2 linked regions of the Canis lupus familiaris genome follow. The protein of the gene in region 1 interacts with the protein of each later gene in a pairwise test. Links are inferred from orthologs where the notes say so. Each region holds a gene or a part of one and is shown on either strand. Other genes may lie near its edges. The genes, in order: SRF and ELK4.

Region 1 (3,731 bases):
GCGGGTGGAGCATGCGCAGTGGCCGCGGCGCTGCGCGCGGGGCGCGCGGCAGGCGGAGCCCGCGCTCACGGTCACGTCGCTCCTTGCCGCAGAAGTACGCAGCCCTTTCCCTCCATCACCTGGAAGGCCCGCTCGCGTTTCCTGGGTCGGCCTGCCCGGTCCCCCTGAAACCTACACTTCCAACCCCGAAGCTGTCCTGAGTTCTCACCGGGTCACGTGGCCATGAGTTTCCCAAACCCTACAGCCGTGCTTTGGATTGGTGGAATCACTTTTCCTATTGATTAAAATTGCTCCTCTCTGTGTTGGCCTAGAAAGCTAACAAAGTCCTGCGCAAAGACAAAGGCCCCAGCTCCCAGAAATGTTCCTTCAATTAAGTTGCAGAGTTCCACAGCCCAGAGTGCCCCTTGGCCTTGCCATTGTTCTCATCAGGCGGCCAGGTTTGCTTCTCAGAGCAGCGGCTGGAGGTTGGTTCGCGTTCATACTTCCCTCCCTCCCTCCCTCCCTCCCTCTCTATGCGGAAAAACGGAGGCAAAGACTCCACAGTCTGTGCACAAAAATGATACATTTATTGAAAGAGTATTTTTTTTTAATACAAAAGAAAGCTCTGTACATAGGACTGTGACCATGTCCACTATTCCTGGGTCAGCATCCCAGGGGAAGTAGAAACCACTGACATACTCCATTCACACACACACACTCAGGCACACGCACGCGCGCACACACACACACGCACACACACACTCCAGAGCCACCAAGAAAGGGAAATACCAAGGGTTGCTGCACATATAAATGCCACCTCATCCCTGACGCACACATGTTCTCCCAAGGCCACGCTCACACAACACACATTATAAGCACTTTGCCTGATTCACTCACTGGGTCTGTCTTTTGTGGGAAAGAGAGGAGGAATTCATCAGTCTCCTCCCCTGGGTGGGGGAGTGGAGAGTGAGTGAGTGATGGTGGAGTGAAACAAGAGCAGAGAAAGGGGGCTGGGCAGTTACAGACCTGAGTCCCAAGCTCCCCACTCTCTGGCCCCTGATTTGCCATGCCCCAGCCTTGTAAGCCACCCATAACCCCCAGCTATCTCCAGGAGAAAGCCCAGAACGGTGACTTCCATCTCGGCACCCCAAATCGGGGCAAGACAGCAATGGGGGTTAGAGGTTATGGGGGTTCTCAGACACATCGGCAAATCATCCCCTTGATAACTAGGCTGTGCGCACAAACTTCCCCCACCCCTTCACCTAATCACAGAAGCAGGATTGTTCCTCCTGAAGGCAGTCACAGGGGTTAATAAAACTCTACCCCAACTGCTGCCCTGTTCTGAAAAAGCTCCCTTTCTGGATAAAGGGGGTGAAGGTAGGCTCTGACACGGGGTAAAAGACCCTCCCCCTATGCTGGCCCATCCTCAAGGTCTACCCCAAAGGGGGCAGAGTGGGGTAGGGCACGGCCCCTGTACAAATTACATAAATACTGAGGTTACACTTAGAAAAATAAAGTCATTTTCTTCAAGGCTTTTTGTCTTAATTTAAAAAAGTTACAGTAGCTGCTCACTCCCTGGGAGAGCTGCCCATTTCTGGCTCCCCTATCTTTATATTCAGCCCAAGAGCTGCTCCCGTTTCTTCTGACCCCCATTCCTGCCTCTCAACCCCTCCCAGACCCCACCCTGCTCACTGCAACTTGGGCCCCAGGCGGCTGCAGGCCTGGGGGAGCACAAGGCTGCAATGCCCATGCGTGTGGCACAAATGAAGTCAGTTGCCTCTACCTGACACCCTCCCACCCCCACCCCCACATTTGGTCTCCCTCTTCCCTCTCCCTTGCGACAGCCCTAGAGGGCAAAAAGAGACCCAGGGCTGCAGGTCACCCTGCCCACCCCGTTGGGGCATGGCCTGAGGGCCCCTCCCCCGGTTTTCTCCTGGCAACAACCCAGGACCGGGCAGTCCCAGAATCTCCCCTACACACTGGCGGGGCCCCGAGCTCATGGGGTGGTTCCGTCCCCAGAGGCCCAGTCAGTTCCGGGGAGCCCCAGGGCTCCCCAGGGAAGGGGAGCTTGGGCAGGGAGGGGGACGAGAAACACGCCATAAAAAAAAGTTTAAATATTTTAAAAATATATATTTATAGATTTGTTTTCACTTCGTCTCCTCAAATAAAAAGTTCAAAATCAACTTTTAAGTAAAGCAGCTGGGGGGAGAGGGGGAAGACAGGGTGAGAGGGAACACTGGCAGTTCCCTCCGACCCAGGAGTTCCTGGAGTCCCAAGGGGACCGGCAGGGCAGGGCAGGTGGCCCCAGGAACCTGCTCTGTGCACAGGCCCAGCTCTCAGGAGCTACAGGGACAATAGGGCATCCTGTGAGGGAAGAAGCCCCATCTCCCCAGGTGGCTCCCTGAGGGGCACGGATAGGGCTCTTGTCACCCAGCCTGTGACAGACACGGTGCTGACAGCAGGTCAGCAAGGAGGCTGGGAGAGGACCCCCACTGCTTCCTCGGGGGAACACGGTGCCTAGTCCCACAGAGGCCTGTGTGTGGGAAGGTGGGGCACGGTCCCATTGGATAAGCTAATACTCATGGCAAACATGGAGCCAAGCTGGCTAGGGGAGTCTGAGGAGGGAGGACAGCCCCACCATCAACAGAAAATGGGAGGTGGAGCCAGAAGGAGGGGAGGGGGAGGGAGGATGGGGTGGAGGGCAGGCTGGCCCATTTCTTTGGCTGGAGTGAGAGGGCTCAGTCCTGTGGCTGCCCACTCCTCCTCCCTGCCTCCCTCCTGCGGCCCGTCAACGTGTGTGTAAAGAAAACGTGAAAAGGCAACAATAAATAAGTGGTGCCATCCCTTGGGCCATCTGTCCAGGGTGGCAGGGCGGATCAGTCACTCTTGGTGCTGTGGGCGGCGTCCAGGTTCACCACCTGTAACTCGGTGAGGTTGCTGCTGCTCCCAGCCTGCTGCCCTATCACAGCCATCTGGAGGGAAGGGGGTGTGTAAGGAAAAGGAGGGCAGGAACTGACCAGCCAGCTCAAGCTTCCCCCTGCTGGCCTGCCTGTCCACCACGAGCCTGACTGGGAAAACAGATGGGCCTCCTGGCTTAGGGAATCTTGGCTTAGACCAATGGGTAAATGAAATCCCCAAAGTCAAGAGAAGGAAATGGCTGGGTTGGCTGAGGTGAGGTGAAGGGTGCCCCCACACCTACCTGGTGAAGCTGAACTGCAGAAACAGGGATCTGCACTGTCCCAGATGGTGCTGTCAGGAACACCTGGGGAACACCACCTGCATTGGGAAACCACAGGAGATACTCAAACTGCTTGCTCAAGAGAAACTTCCAGATACTAGTTGGAATGGAATGCATGAGTATCCTAGTGGACAGCAATGGGTGTGGGAATGTGTGTGCAAGCATCCGTGTGTGTGTGTGTGTGTGTAGTTTTATGTGTGGGCATCCTTGTTTGGGTATGGGTATATGAGTGTATATATCTATGTGTGTATGTGGGGGGCCATTTGGATATGTGGGTATGTGAGGGAGGAGGACATGGTCCCCCTTAGCCCCAGCCCACCACTCACCTTGCTCCTGGACCTGGCTGTGGGACACCTGCATGGTGGACGGCGCCTGGGGGAAGGCATTGAGCACGGTGAGGCTGCCGTCAGCCAAGCCCGAGGTGGGTGCATACATCACCGCATGGGGACTAGGGTACATCATGTGGCCACCCACAGTTGTGGGCACAGATGACGTCATGATGGTGGCAGGCAAT
Region 2 (3,814 bases), on another chromosome or scaffold:
ATGTCACAACAAAAACTTTAAAGAAAAAAACTGTCCTACATGTTAAATATTAACTCTCTGGCCTACCTTGATGGAAAGAACAAACCAAACCTTCCCTCAGAGCCTAAGGTATACAGCTTTACGTTTAACTTCACACAAATGTTTAGAAAGTTCATGCACTACAGAGTATAATTCAATTACAAAGCAAATCACAGACTGTCAAAAAGAGGTCCAGAAAGAGATGCCCATTCATTAACTCTATTTATAACTGATGCATAAATGCTCTGCTAGAACAGAACCCCCATCATGTGTTCTAAGATCAATTCTATAGGGAGAGTCCATGCTGAAACTGCATGAGCACTGTGCAGTTTAAGGTCTCAGATCACTCTAGAACTCAATTATCTGTGAGAAGCAAGGAAAAATGTAAAAAATAAACTATGAGACATTCTCAACACTATTCAATAATTCAGAACTTTTCGCAAAAAAAATGTAGAAGTAGAAAGATTTTTAATTTTTTCCTTCATTTTTTTTCCCAAAAGAACAAATAAAAAGTTAAATTGCAAGATATAAGGAAGTCTACCAGTAAGTGAATGAATCAACAAAACAAACTCTACAAGTTCTAAAGTCTAGATGCTTGGGCCAAAACACTGGTTAAAAGCTGTAAGACCTTCCCTATGATCTCGGTTAAAGGGTATACAATATCCTTTTTTAAATACATATTTAAAATGTTGATAAGGGCAGCCCTGGTGGCGCAGCGGTTTAGAGCCGCCTGCAGCCCAGGGTGTGATCCTGGGGACCCAGGATCAAGTCCCATGTCGGGCTCCCTGCATGGAGCCTGCTTCTCCCTCTGTCTGTGTCTCTGCCCCTCTCTCTCTCTGTGTCTCTATGAATAAATAAATAAAATCTTTAAAAATAAATAAATAAATAATACGTAAATAAAATCTTGATAAACATTAATTCTAAATGAGTGAGAAACAGAGTATTTGATATGCCATTCTCAAAAGTTTTCATTTTCAAAAATCCTCATGTAAAATAGACTTATAAAAGAGACTTATATGCACAAATTTTCACACACATATATGTATTTTTTTTTTCAAAAAAGAAAAAGAATTTCTAGCATTTAAAATGACAAAGAAATCAGGTGGTTTCGGGATCCCTGGGTGGCGCAGCGGTTTGGCGCCTGCCTTTGGCCCAGGGCGCGATCCTGGAGACCCGGGATCGAATCCCACATCGGGCTCCCGGTGCATGGAGCCTGCTTCTCCCTCGGCCTGTGTCTCTGCCTCTCTCTCTCTCTCTCTCTGTGACTATCATAAATAAATAAAAATTGAAGAAAAAAAAAAAAAAAGATTTAAAAAAAAAAAAAAAAGAAATCAGGTGGTTTCAAAATCTACTATAGTACTGAACAATTCTTGGTCTAACTGAAATGTATGTAACAGTAAAGAATGAAAAGGAAGCCGGGATCCCTGGGTGGCTCAGTGGTTTGGCACCTGCCTTGGGCTCAGAGCATGATCCTGGGGTCCCAGGATTGAGTCTCACATCGGGCTCCCTGAATGGAGCCTGCTTCTCCCTCTGCCTGTGTCTCTGCCTCTCTCTCTTTCTCTCTCTCTGTTTCTCATGAATAAATAAAATCTTAAAAAAAAAAAAAAAGGGAAAGGAAGCCTTGCTGTGAATATCTTTGGAACCGTCTGCTGACTGGAAAACTAACCAACTAACCCTTGGAAAGCATATTTATTAAACGCAAGTTTTATAATGATTAGACTAAAGAGTGAAGACACACTGCCTTTTGGCCTCTTTCTTCATGTGTCAGGCCCCAACTACAAGAGGCAAACTTAGAGGTGATTTACCTGGAAAAGTGTGTTAGCACCTTGCAGTCTGGCTGGACTCAGGGGAGCAACAGGGCTAAGAGTACTCCAGAAGTGGATGCTGGATAGCAGGGGGCTCGGCGTCAGTAAGATGGGAGTCTGCAATATGCAAAACAAAAATGATCACTAGGTGACTCGCCAGTTTTACATTTCAACCTCATAATAATATATCAATAGCCTTAAACCCAAATACTGTCCTCTTCTCCACTAAGGATCTCTGAAATTTTATCATGAGAAAAGTTCAGAAATTATTTTTACAACCTAAGAAATATAAATGGCAAAATATTTCTAATTTGTGTTTTGTAGGGTCTTTCCCAAATAGAGAAACCAATCTGGTCAAGGGCAGAGAAAGAACTGGTAACTAACTCACAAACACAGTTCTCCTTAGTAATGGGAGGTCTATTTAAATGTTATTGGGGTGAGGGGGAACACCTGAGTGGCTCAGCGGTTGAGCGTCTGGGCGTCTGCCTTCGGCTCAGGGCGTGACCCTGGAGTCCGGTCACTGAGTCCCACATCAGGCTCCCTGCATGGAGCCTGCTTTTCCCTCTGCCTGTGTCTCTGCCTCTTTGGGTCTCTCATGAATAAATAAATAAAGTCTTAAAAAAAAAATGCTACGGGTAGAGCCTACATGGCTCAGTCAATTAAGCATCCGACTCTTGATTTCAGCTCAGGTCATGACCTCAGGGTCCTGGGATCGAGCTCCATGCTGGACTCTGTGCTCAGCACTTTGGACTCTGCTCACTTTTTAAAAAGGGAGTGCACACCTTAGTTGGCTCAGTCAGTTAAGCGCCTGCCTTCAACTTGGGTCATGATCCTGGGGGGGCCTGGAATCAAGCCCTGCATCCCCTGCATCAGGCTCTCTGCTTGCATCAGGCTCTCTGCTTAGCAGGGAACCCGCTTCTCCCTCTTCCTCTGCCTGCTGCTCCCTCTGCTTTTGCTCTCTCTCTGTCAAATAAATAAAATCTTAAAAAAAAAAAAAAAAGATTCCCTTCCCACCCCTTCTCCCCCTCTCTTATATAAATAAATAAATAAATATTATAGGAGATGAGTAAGTTAAGAAATAACTAATATAACTCTACAAACTTGTTACTCAACATCACACCAGGAGGTTTTCTTAGGTTCTTGGGATTGTTTTCTAGCTTTTGATGTTATCACTATTTTTTTATAAGATACCATTGAGTTTTATAAGACCAAAAAGAGAGAGAGAATAGTTGGCTTTAGGAGGAAGTTGAAAAATATTTATTTGCTTGTAGAGACAACAGATTCTTCTACGATGCTACTCCAAACCTCTCACTGATTACGCAGGGAACTGGGTCACAGCCCACTTTTCTAAGACAGACCCAGGTAACAGCATGAGAACGTGAGGTTATAAATTCTGCATGTTTTAAAAGGTGAGTCAATGCAAACATCGGTGGCACTAAAAAGAAAGAGTCAGTTACCTGTGAGAAAAGCGCTGGTGTAAGAGAAGCTGTGGGGAGAGAGGGGCTCAGTATTCCCAGTGGACTTGGGTCACTACCGGTGATCACGAGGATGGGCGCCAGCTCTAACCCTTTGGGTTTCTTGGATCTTGAAGAATTGCTTGTTTTGTCCTTTTCCAGCAAGGCCGCATCCTGGTCTTTAGGCTCTAGTGACAAATTCTCTGGAAGCTCCATGGGCTGCGAAGCCACGGAATCGATGTCCGTGTCAACCTCGGGATTAGGACTCAGCGGCGGCGTGGGGGTCCTGGGGGGCTCCGGCACAGAGGGGGAAGCGGAGGAAATGGGGGGGGCGGCGAACGCGGCGGTGACACTGGCTGCAGAGGCCGGGGCTTCCAGGGAAGGCAGTTTGGGGGAAGCCAAAGTCTCCAATGCCTGGAGGGTTTCTTCTGAAGATGGAGAGATGCTGGGGCCGAGGGACGTGGCGGCAGCAAGAGGTTCACCCGGCAGCTTTTTGGAAGGGGTCGTTACGAATCTGATGACAGACGGAGTTGGCTC

What was found.
Region 2: the proteins of SRF (region 1) and ELK4 interact in a two-hybrid assay, tested with the Homo sapiens proteins (2 studies listed by BioGRID and IntAct). The link is inferred for Canis lupus familiaris from reciprocal best matches to the Homo sapiens genes SRF and ELK4.

What each region holds. Positions count from the first base shown.
Region 1 is NC_049233.1:11,859,779-11,863,509, reverse strand, and holds the end of SRF (serum response factor), read right to left. Parts: coding exon 3,544-3,731; intron 3,256-3,543; coding exon 3,179-3,255; intron 2,952-3,178; coding exon 2,856-2,951; 3' UTR 544-2,855; downstream 1-543. UniProt on the Homo sapiens protein: SRF is a transcription factor that binds to the serum response element (SRE), a short sequence of dyad symmetry located 300 bp to the 5' of the site of transcription initiation of some genes (such as FOS).
Region 2 is NC_049259.1:2,662,157-2,665,970, forward strand, and holds part of ELK4 (ETS domain-containing protein Elk-4), read right to left. Parts: coding exon 3,281-3,814; intron 1,941-3,280; coding exon 1,824-1,940; intron 1-1,823. UniProt on the Homo sapiens protein: Involved in both transcriptional activation and repression. Interaction with SIRT7 leads to recruitment and stabilization of SIRT7 at promoters, followed by deacetylation of histone H3 at 'Lys-18' (H3K18Ac) and subsequent transcription repression.